Cricetulus griseus: one gene and its partners. The protein of the gene in region 2 interacts with the protein of the main gene of each other region in a pairwise test. Links are inferred from orthologs where the notes say so. Each region holds a gene or a part of one and is shown on either strand. Other genes may lie near its edges.

The links.
Region 1: the proteins of Sgta (region 2) and Slpi interact in binary tests that used the Homo sapiens proteins (3 or more experiments, as listed by UniProt). The two-hybrid records come from large-scale screens. The link is inferred for Cricetulus griseus from reciprocal best matches to the Homo sapiens genes SGTA and SLPI.
Region 3: the proteins of Sgta (region 2) and Lat interact in binary tests that used the Homo sapiens proteins (3 or more experiments, as listed by UniProt). The two-hybrid records come from large-scale screens. The link is inferred for Cricetulus griseus from reciprocal best matches to the Homo sapiens genes SGTA and LAT.

Annotation. Positions count from the first base shown.
Region 1 is NC_048599.1:15,125,444-15,129,188, reverse strand, and holds the start of Slpi (antileukoproteinase), read right to left. Parts: upstream 2,400-3,745; 5' UTR 2,054-2,399; coding exon 1,930-2,053; intron 1,337-1,929; coding exon 1,175-1,336; intron 716-1,174; coding exon 567-715; 3' UTR 566-566; intron 9-565; 3' UTR 1-8.
Region 2 is NC_048598.1:101,842,544-101,846,288, reverse strand, and holds the start of Sgta (small glutamine-rich tetratricopeptide repeat-containing protein alpha), read left to right. Parts: upstream 1-1,084; 5' UTR 1,085-1,240; intron 1,241-3,745. UniProt on the Homo sapiens protein: Co-chaperone that binds misfolded and hydrophobic patches-containing client proteins in the cytosol. Mediates their targeting to the endoplasmic reticulum but also regulates their sorting to the proteasome when targeting fails.
Region 3 is NC_048596.1:74,438,423-74,442,167, reverse strand, and holds the start of Lat (linker for activation of T-cells family member 1), read right to left. Parts: upstream 2,872-3,745; 5' UTR 2,192-2,871; coding exon 2,089-2,191; intron 1,887-2,088; coding exon 1,859-1,886; coding exon of another isoform or gene 1,753-1,858; coding exon 1,718-1,752; intron 1,501-1,717; coding exon 1,413-1,500; intron 1,274-1,412; coding exon 1,209-1,273; intron 1,126-1,208; coding exon 1,096-1,125; intron 1,011-1,095; coding exon 947-1,010; intron 878-946; coding exon 783-877; intron 1-782. Other genes in the region: Spns1 (protein spinster homolog 1), read right to left, coding at 3,245-3,339, 3,676-3,745. UniProt on the Homo sapiens protein: Required for TCR (T-cell antigen receptor)- and pre-TCR-mediated signaling, both in mature T-cells and during their development.

The DNA of each region.
Region 1 (3,745 bases), on a different chromosome or scaffold from region 2:
GGATCAGGCTACAAGAGAAAATAAGATAAGACCTTCAACATAGAAGCCAAACAAATCATTTCCCTCTGGTCCTCCATAAGGAAGTCAGCTGAGAGAGGTCAAACAACAAAGCAGGACTGGAGGTGAGAGGATTGTGGATTTCAGGAGAAAAGTTCAAGTCTCACGTTCATTGTAAAATTCAAAACTCAGAGCATTGAACTAGACATCCCTCTAATTATATCTACGCTTTGTGCTTTAACCCTAGACACGACAAAGCAAATAACTTGGACAATGAATAATGCATACAGTGCCTTACAAAACATTTTCAAATTCAGCATTTCCATTCTGTAGATAGAGACTCAGAAAGTCATTCACCCATGGCCCTTATCCAGACACACTGTGTAGATTCAAAACCACAGACAATCCTATGTGTTTGCCCTAAGAAATAGGGGACAGCGCCCTTAAAGGACAAGCCAGACAGAGGCTGTTGGTTACAGTCTCCCTGCCATAAGCCCTGACCTCCAGAGCCTTGAAGCTGAAAAGGTCTGAAAAGCAATGAGTCTGTCCACCCCAGCTGACTCCTTACCTTACTGTGGGAGAAGGCAGAGTTTCCCACACATGCCCAGGCAACACTTATAGTTGCCAGCACACTCGCCATCCCTCTTACACCTATTGGGAGGATTCAGCATCAAACATTGTCCTTGAATCTTTGGGCACTTGCCAGGCTTCGACCTCACTGGTGACAGAAGAAGCACAGGTCAGATGTCTTAGACTTCAGCCACCACATCACTGCTTCTTTAACCCACCTTCTTCAGCCTGAGCAAGGAAAATCACCCCCATTTACCCCTCACCTCAATCACCTACTCCCAGATATGTCCCCTGAAACAACACCTGGTTCCCCTCTAACATCTGCCTCCAGACAATGCAGGTGGCCGGCTGTCTGGTACTGAAAGGGTTGACGGCTTCCATCAAGCTGAATGCCCAGATGATTCTTTGCAAAACCATTACAGAATGGCTGCCTCAGACAAGAGGCTTTTCCTGCTGATGGCAGCATGATGCCTTGACTGATGCCATGTTGGATTCAACCACTCTTAGAAGCAAGCATGCCTAGGAGGACCCCTTCCCGAAATCCCATCCCCTTCAGTGCTAGGTCTTGAGGTTCATTCCTCTGCTCCTGGGTCCTCTGCTGGCTCACCTGCAGTGCGGATGGGAAGAGGATCAATGCATTTGAAACCACACCTAAATTGGCAGCACCTCTTATTTCCCGGGCATTGCCAGTCAGAATCACACTCTGGTTTCTCCTTCCTCAGGCAGTTGACAGGCCTTCTAGAAGGGCAGGCACCACTTTTGATAGCATCTAAAGAGGATGTCATGATGTTAGGAGAGCATGGAACAACTATCACAATTCATAGACAAAGGACCACTTTCCAAACTGTAAATCCTCATCCCAGTAGCCCACAACTACAAAGGGGATTAACTGCAGAAGAAAGCAAAAGGAACAAACAAATATGACAGGCTTGGTCAAACCAGACATGTAAACAGGAAAAACATCACAGACTGAGGACAAAAGGCACAGGGTTCCCAATCAAGTTTTTCCACCTCATGGCTAAGCTAGATTACCAAGGACAGAAGGGGAGAGTGGGAGTAATGGAGACAAGAGAAATAAACAGGAAGGGAACAAACCTGTGAGATGTTGAGAACTAAAGCCAGAGGCAGAAACAGAAAGGACAGGAACAGAGAGAGAGTGAGGCCTGGGTTGACAGGGTGGTTTAATAATCAAGGGAGCATTCTTCCATGCCTTGAAGCCTCATAGGAACCTCTGACCCCAGCAAGACATGGATGCCACCAGGAAGTCCTGAGTAAGCTGAGGACAGCCTAGAGAAAGGAAGACACCAAAACCACCAGGAACCCTCACCTCTGACATTCTAGGCCAAAATAACCCCAACTCACCATTTTTGCCTCCTTCCACAGTCCAGGATGCCAGGATCCCCAGAGCAAGGAGCACCATGAAAGGGAAGAAGGTACTGGACTTCATGGTGAAGGCAGAGTGGCTCTGATGAGCAGTCCCAAGCATCACTATTTGTATCTTTACCAGAGGGTGTGGCTGCAGTGGGGTGTATTTGGCCCCTCCCACATGCTATTGCATAGTCAGGAAGCTTTAGCCAGAGAACAGAAGTCTTGATACTACAGAAGTAGATGGTAGACTTTCTGCTTCAGACAGGACCATGAGGCCAGCAGAGTAACTACCAGAGAGTTGAAAATGAAAGAAGTAGTTTGGAAGTTGTCCTCAGAGGGACATTCAGAGGGACATGTCCACCTGTGCCCTGAGCATTGTGAAATCTGAAACCCTATAGCCCTTACTGGTAGAGAAGAGTAGTAAGGGTCAGTCACAAAAGGGCCACCAGGACCTGATGCTGAAACATAGGAAGTGAACTCTCAGCTGAGACTGCAATGTGCCTCTATTTCTCAAGTTCCTGGACTTTCTGGGATTTTGAAATTCTAAGCTATTGCTCAATGCAAATTTCTTCTCAAAATACAGATGACGCATGGTTCAACCAATTGACATTTATCTCTGCCAAATGATTTGCACCGCTGTTTTCCCAGTGCCTATTTCATGACTGAAACACAGAATACAATCTCTAAATAAATGAAGGTTGTACGCAGAAGGGCATTGGCCCTCAGCAAATCTCTTTGGAGATCAGTTTCCTAGGCATGAAATGACTTAGGACTGGTCCTGAGATTAAGAGTTTGAAATCACACTTAATTAATGAACTGCATCCCTGGCTACAAGTGACCATTGAGATGGATTGGAGCAAAGGGATAAATTCTCTCACTCGTCACTGTAATCAGCACTGAGCTATGGTATCATTTCTGTTGTTAAAGGAATTCTTTCTATCTCTAAATCCACTATGGGCATCAAATGTCAGAAAAAATTATGGCTGCTGTGTGTTCAGCCCATTGTGTGTAAAATCCAGTGTGTCCAAATTGAGTCTAATTCTTAAGAGAGCCACCCTTCTCTGTACAATTCAACCCAATCTTCCCTACCTGCAAAGTTCGAGTCTTGCCTCAACATCATATGATCTTGTTTTTAAATTTCATACATGTTGGTTTGTAAATACGTGTGTGTGTGTGTGTGTGTGTGTGTGTGTGTATAGTTACCCTCCTCCCTCTACTTCCTCCAATGTTTTCCCTACCCTGAACTCCCTCTCAAACTTGGCTTCTTTTTCTTTATTGGGAGTAGGGGATCAAAACAGCTAGCTCTAGCTGTCCTGGAACTCACCCTGTAAACCAGGATGACCTTGAACTCCAAGAGATCTGCCTGCCTCTGCCTCTTGAGTGCTTGAATAAAGGTGTGTACCACCAACAGATGGTATTGGCCTCTTGTTCTTTAATTATTACTGTTCTGTGTGTATATGAATAGATATATTATTACAACCTGCCAACTACATTTAGTGTTGTTCATGTGCACACATTTTATGGGTGACCACTTAATATTGCATAGCCAGCTAGGTGGCTCACCCATGAGGAAAACTTCATCTCTCATTAATTTCCTGCATCTCATCATCTGGGTGGGGACCCTATAAGATTTCCTCCCTTCCACAGTGGCATGTCAACTGGTGTTTTCATGGTTCAGGTCTTATATAGGCAGCCATACCCTTGAGGTTTCATGGTCCCTGGAGTTTTCCTATTCATTCCTCCAAGGAAGTTTGTAGAAAATCAGAGAGACATGAAAAGGCTGTGCATTAGGTGTTGGGCTCCACAAAAT
Region 2 (3,745 bases):
CTGCTGCTTAGCTATTGGCCTTTCAGCTTTTTATTAGACCAATTAGGAGCCTTGGGCACACAAGTTGAAATAGCAACACATCTTTACATAGTTAACAAATATAACAATTTTTGCCTAGTTAAATAATATTCCACAACACACAGTGGGCTTGGGCTTCTCAGATCAGTTAGATTTAATCAAGACAGTTCCCCCACAAGCCAACCTGATCATGAAGAATCTTGCTAAGTGGTTCTAGGTTGTGTCAAGTTGGCCGTTAAAACCAATCTGATGAAAGGAAAGCAGAAGTCACAGGGTTGCAAAAGGGTGTAGTTAAGTTTGTATCCTTTCCCTGTAAATGGAATTTCTGGTGAGATTGCTAAAAAATAGTATGTTTCCAGCCTGGAAGTAAGAAAAGCCTTAAACAATCGGTAATTCTCTGCTAGAGATGGCTTCAGCTGGATGTAGAGGTGACAGGGTCCTGTCTCTTCCCAAGTCCCTCAAAGGTGCCTGGCTTTTCTATTCTGCCTTACCACCCACTCCAAATCCCTAGACAAGCCAGGACACTTACTCTAGTAACCATAACGGTACATCCATGGTAAGCGGAAAGGCAGAAGCCTGACATCTCAGTACTCGGAGGCTGATGCAGGGGGATTGCCATAAACTTCCATTTTCCAAGATGGGATTTCTCTCTCTAAGACTAGGTTGTCCGGGCACTGCCTCTGCCTCCCGAGCGCCGGGATTAAAGACAGGGTCACTAACGCCCATGGAGGCGGCGATGGTTTGAGTCTAGCTTGGGCTGGGGGTGGCGGCGCTCGCCTGCACCCGCAGCACCCGGGAGATAGAGGCAGGCGGGTCTCTCAGGAAAACAGCCTAGCAACAGACAGTAGCTCCGATTCCGGGCTGTGACGCAGGGAGCTGCAGCACGTGACCAGCTCCGTGCCACGTGACCCGCCTCGGCGTCACCGGGGTCCGCCACCGCCCCGCCAGGCCCCACGCGGGCCCAGCTCGCGGCGTCTCAGACAGACTTCCGGTCTTCCGGACGCCGCCGAGGTCAGCTTCTCCAACGACCCGGGTGTGCCCGCCCCGTGTGACGCCACTTCCGCTCCGTCGCTTGGCCGGCGCTCAGGCGCACGCGCAGCACGGGCACGCGGAGGCCATGGGTTCCTTCTGCGCAGGCGTCGTGGCCCCGAGGGCGGGTCCTGTGCGCGCCGCGGTGCGCAGGCGCAGCCGTCGGTGGGTCGGGGCTTCGGTCGACTGAGAGGTGAGTTGGGGGGCTCGCCGTGCCCCGAGGGGCGTGGGCGTCGGTGGCTCGGGGTGCGCGGCGCTCGGGAGCCGCTAAGGTAAAGGTGGCTCGGGGCCCGCCCTCCGGCGCCCCACCGGTCACGTGAGCGGGCGGCGCAGCGGGGAAACTGAGTCCGGCGGCGCCCCCGGCGCTCCTTGTGGAGAGAAGGCCGGCGTTTGGGTGTGGGCCCTCCGCATCCTCGGGGTGCCCCGGGCTTCGCCGCTCGCCAGCGTCGTGACCTTGCTCTGTCGGTTTCCCTCCTGTGTCGAGTGGACGTGGTCACCGCTGCCGTTCCGAGCGGTGTGGTGCTTGTCGGGCACCGGGGGGGTGGGAGCGTGGGGTGGAGGGCGAGGGCCTCCGTCTGCCTGCGGTGCATACTGGGGCAGGTGGCTTGCCCTCTCTGGACGGCTGTGAGGCAGGTGTGCTGGCGCACTGGAGGCTGAGGGAGGAGTTCCATGCCAGCCAGGACTGTACACAGGATTCAAAAGAGCTGTGACCAAAAACAAGGGCCCTAGAGAATGGCTCAGGTCCTTGGTCCTTAACCTGTAACTCAGTATTGCATTTGGGAGGGTGTGGCACTTGAATCACCGGGACTTCAGGCCTAGCCTGGGCTATCTGGAGAGTTTCAAGGCCCAGCCTGGGCTATCTGGAGAGTTTCAAGGTCCAGCCTGGGCTACCTAAGAAGTTCAAGTTACATGGACCACATTGTGAGAACAGTTGATTTTAGTTTGTTGAGACAGTTTTTGTGTGTCCCTGGCTGTCCTTGAACTCTCTGTGTAGACAAGGCTGGCCTCAGACTCCCCCCTCTTCCCAGCATTAAAGTGTACCCCACTACACCTGACATCATAATTAATTTTGAAAAGGATTTTAAAATAGCCGGTAGTTCAGTTGTAAGCTGCCTGTCATCCCGTCCGTGGGAGGCTGAGACTGGAAGATGGGAATGAAGTTCGAGGCCGTCTTGAGCTACATAGTAGATCTTTGTCTCTCAAAAACCAGGCCTGCAGTTCCATGCCTTTATTGCCAACACTTGGGTGGCACCGGCAGGTGGATCTCTGAGTTCAAGGCCACCCTGGTCTACAGACAGAAACCGTGTCTCAAAAAAAACCCAAACAAGAAAATGAAAAAACACCACCTCCAATGAAACCAAAACAAGCCAACTGAAATTGTTGTGAATGTCTCTGTCACCCGGAGGGTAAATGTCCCGAAGTTTCCTTAGCTAGCATCCTATAGGCCTGTCAGCCTTGGTGGGGTGCTGGAGAGGACACAGGGTCCCCACTGGCTATTATGCTTTGGTCTGTTCCTGTCTCTGGTTATTTGTTTGAGTGATCTTTCCTTTTTCTGGCTATTCTTGTCCCCAGGAACCCTGGGCAGTGTCTGGGGACACTTGTGATTGCTGTGACTGAAAGGGCTTCAGACTTCTGACACTGAGTGGAGGTCAGGAGCGTGGTCCAGAATGAAGGGTGCTCCTGGTGGGGAGGAGAAGCAGCCGAATTTGGTTCCATACACCCACCCATGTAAAAAGCCATAAGTGGTAATCTCAGTGTGGGAGGTCAGAGACCGACAGGTCACTGGGCCCTCTGGATAGCCAGCCTTACCTTGTTCAACCCCATGTCCCAGGGTCAGACGCTGTTTTCTGTTTTTTATTTTTTTCTTTTTCCCCCCGGAGACAGAGTTTCTCTGTGTATCTTTGTAGACCAGAATGGCCTCAAACTCAGAGAGGTCCGTCCCTCCTGCCTCTGCTGGGATTAAAGGCGTGGCTTGTTTCCATTCAAGACAGGGCTGCTGCTGGGAATAAAGGCAAGCCTCACCATCACCCGGTTAGACACTGTTTCTAAAAAATGAGGTGGTATCTGGAGGAAGGACACCTAGGTTGACTGGAGTGTGAACACTGAAACCGATGCATGCATGAGCATGCCAGTAAAGAAGCATACCTGTAATTCCAGCACTCAAGGGGCAGACACGGGAGGATTGCCTTAGATTTGAGTTTCCCCTGGGGTACATAGTGAGCTCTAGTGTTAAAGATGAAACCCTAGCCCAGTGGCTCATCAGTATTGAGGCATCTGCACAGATTATGTGGGTCCCAAGATTGTGTGTGCACCTACTTTTGTGGGGTAAGGGATTATCTGTGGACTCTGCCCCTGGAGCCACTGTCTGAGGTCCCAGCTGCTGCTTCCTGTCTGGGCATTGGCTCTGTCAGGTGAGTTGTATTGCAAGCCCTTCCTGTTGTTTTGATTTGAAACTGGGTCCCCCTCATTCCAGGGCTATCTGTATGCTGGGTGAACACTGCCCACTGGGACCCAGTCCAGGGACCTCACCAGACTCTTCAATGGATTTGAGCCTTGTGTTCAAGCTGAGAAGTTACCACACTGACCTTGCTTGTAAACTTGTTGGGAGGGGGAAGACAAAGACATACTATAGGCCAGGCTAGCTTTACACTCTAGCAATTGTCCCCCTACAGCCTCCCATATGCTGGGGTGACAGCAG
Region 3 (3,745 bases), on a different chromosome or scaffold from region 2:
ATGGTAAAGCAGAAGGAGCTTCAGTGAGAGAGTGTGAGTGAGTGAGAGACAGGCCTACAGAGACAGAGAGAGAAACAACCTCCAACCAAAGACCTTACAGATACATTAGACGATATCACTTCCATGAAACAAGAACAGGGTACTTAATAAAAAGGACACCAAGCTGGGCAGTGGTGGCGCACGCCTTTAATCCCAGCACTCGGGAGGCAGAGGCAGGTGGATCACTGTGAGTTCGCGACCAGCCTGGTCTACAAGAGCTAGTTCCAGGACAGCCTCCAAAGCCACAGGGAAACCCTGTCTCGAAAAACCAAAAATAAATAAATAAATAAATAAAAAAGAACACCAAGAATCGTCCCTCTCCCTCCCCAAAAAAGAGTTTTCCGACAAAAGAAAAGAATTTTTCTTTTCTTTTTGTTTGTGGTAGTGCTGTTTTGGTTTTTGAGACAGGGTCTCACTGTATTGTCCAGGCTAGCCTCAAAGCCAACCCTCCTACCTAGATCCCTCGTGCCAGGGTTAAAGGCGCATGCCTACACATCCAGCTGAGAAATACGATTTCAGTGGAAAGGTTAAAGAAGAGTCAGGGAATTTCTTAGACAACAGATAAAATGATAAGACAAAGAGGGAGGGAAGGCAAAAGGAAAAGCAAGGTGATCAGAAGTGAGGAGCAGGAAGTCCAAGATCTGAGGGAGGAAATGGAAGGGTGGCGATCGCAGAAATGAGAGGGAAGAGAGGCATAGCCGGCGGCACATGGCGGAAGGAGGTAGTCAGAGACCCTAACTCACTGGAGAAGGCGCTGTCTCGGAGACCAGGGTTGCTGGGCACGGGAGCAGAGGAGACGACAGGAATGGCGGCAGGGGTGCTGTCAGGAAGCACCTCTCTGGAAGGAAGGGATGAGGAGGTAAGAAAGGGCACCAACTTCCACTCCCACCTCCCACCCCCCACTCACAGGTAGCCCTCATTGGGGTAGTCATCCTCATCTTCATCTTCAGCCGCATTCTCACAGGCTGGCTCTATGAGGAATGAGAGAGAAGTCAACGTGACCTGGGATAGACCCAGCCTCCCCACCCCACCCAGTACCCCAGACCCTAGACCCACCCTGGTTCTCGTAGCTCGCCACACTGTTGGCTTCAAAGAGAGAGGGAGAGGAAGATGGAGTCAGCTGAGGCTGCACACCCTCTCCCCAGCCCTCCAGCCCTGTACGCCCTTACCATCATCCGAATCCTGCCGGGAAGACGGCATCTGATGGGAACCTCCAAGGGGCTGTGGGGATCTCCTGGAAGTCAAGGGTCAGGGACCAGGTCTAAGTAGGAATCTGGGGGCAAGAGGGGTTACAACAGGGAAAAAGCCACCCCCCCATCCTAAAAGGTAAGGAGGCACAATGGATCAGAGGGAGGGAGCTGAGGGGTACTCACGGAATGGGGAGCAGGTCTGGCTGCCTCAGGGGTGGGAAGGAAGTAACAAGAGGATAGGAAGTGGCAGTTGTTCGGGGGAAGCCTGTTTCTGAGGACATAGAACCAAGCTTGAGGGAATTACTCCAGACAACCCCCCTGCGGGTGACAAGGCCTCTAAGGACAGATGTACCCCTAAAAAACATGTGCTAAACAGGCATGGGGGCTCCAACTTTCCCCCAACCCAGGCAATAGTCCTGCAGGCATCTTAGCGGGACAAAGGCACACTCCCAAGAACCCTCAAAGAAGGCCAAGGACACTGAACTCACGAGATGGTTTGATGAGGATGCTCCGTGGATAAAAACTGGCAGGAAAGAGGCAGCTTAGGTACAGGGCCAAGAGGGCCCCAGCCCCAAGCCCTTCATCAGAACAAAGGGAAGACACACAGGGAAATGGGACTGCACACTCACCTCTCTGTGGAAGCACTGTCATAGGAGACTGGAAGAGAGAGAGCCAATGAGGCAGGATCAGAATGCACTGGGAGCAAAGACAGTCCCATCCCGTCCCGTCCCGTCCCGTCCCGTCCCGTCCCCCCCAGGCAGGACTGAAGTATGGACAATTAGAGGAAGCCGGGGGCTGGGGAAGGCATGGGGATCCAATGGTGTGCCTAGCATCTAGTACTCCACAGCTCCCCACTTACCTGGCAGCTCACGGCAGCGCACACACAGGGCAGCCAGGAGCGTGACCAGGACAGGCAGCAGCAGGAGGCCCAGCCCCATGGGGCTCAGAGTGTCTGCTTCCATCTGCAGAGCACCTGGCCCAGGCCCTGCTGCACTGCAGCCCCTCTAGGCAGAGTGGCAGCAGGGGTGTGGGACTGAGTGGGCCCCAGCCTGGGATCCAGTGGCAAGCAGCTGTGTCCTCCTTTGGGGTTCAATGACCCCCACTTCCTTGCTAGACTGAGTTGAGCTCAGTGCTGGAAGAGGCTAGTCCTAAAGCCTGAGCTGGGGCCTGTGCCCCAGCTACCAGCAGCACGATCCCTGTGCCCAGCTGTACCTGCCCCTTTCTTGCTCCCCGCTTGCCTGCCTCTCCTCCTCACCACCCGCGTGCGACAGGAAGCTGTGGTGAGGGCAGGAAATCATCAGGCTCCTCAGCCGGCTGCGCCTGCCCCCTGCCCACTCACCCCCACCCAGCTGTGGGAAGGGGGAGGAGGCAGAGGGACCTTGTGAAGGAAAGGTCTGAGGCTGCAGGATGAGGCAACTGCTCCACTAGGAAGGCAGACACATGCCAACCAGGCCAGCTGTGGCCTCCCCATCTCTGAGCACAAGAACTCTAATGAGGTTCTGCCAGGGACTGTGTGGAACAAGGGCAGCACTGCCTCCACCTCCCAGGCTTGCTTCTGGGAGAACAACTTCCAGGGGACCACAGTGACTCACGGTCACACCGAACCAACTCACTCAGAAAAGAGCAGTCCTCCTTCTAGATGGCCCAAGCGCAGAAGACAGGGACTTACCCACAGGGTGACCCGACTGCCCCTGGTAAGTAAGTCCTGAGACCACAGACATTCCCTGAAGCCAATGGCACCCGCAGAGAGACAAGCAGCCAGTCATAGTCTGCTTACAAATTTTATTCCATTACAAATAGCACCAAACCCCTTGGGCTGCCCTAATAGACAGGACAACCCCCACTTCTGGAACCCCATCTCTTCCCTGGGCTGCCCATGTAGTGTTTGGGAGCTGGGACATATCCCAGGGCTTCTTCCTTGGACCTGGACCTGGTGATGGCTTCTGCCTGGGCACCTCCCAGGGTGGGCCCAGGGCCAGCTGTGGTGAACCTGTGGCTGGGTGAGCAACAGCTCCTCAGATGAGCACGCTGGACACAGGGACCCGGGTAGAACGGCCTCGCTGAGGCACCACAATCCGGTCATCTGAGGGTCCTGTCTCATGCAACAGACCTGTGGGGAAGGGGTCGGAGCCAAGGCCAGTCACATAAAAGCCATCAAGGGGACAGGAGACAAACAGGCAGAGGGGCATAGACGAGACAGCAGCAAGAGTCCTCAGAACTGTGTATAGACAGAAAGCCTGATGATACACTTTAAGACAGACTGAAAGCTGAGTGGGATGGTACTGGGAAGCTGGTACTATCAACCCTGGCAGGTGGCTGGCAGCATGGGCCTGGGTGGATGGGACAGCTGTGGACTAAGAGATGTGGGGCGCATACCTGTGAGCCAACAGATGGACAGACTGACAGGTGATACTGTGAATATGGGGTGACAGTGGCCCTCACTGACCCTGCATGTGGAGTTGAGCCCGTCGGCGGTCATCCTCAATGAACATGGCAGTGCCCAGGAAGGCCGCACC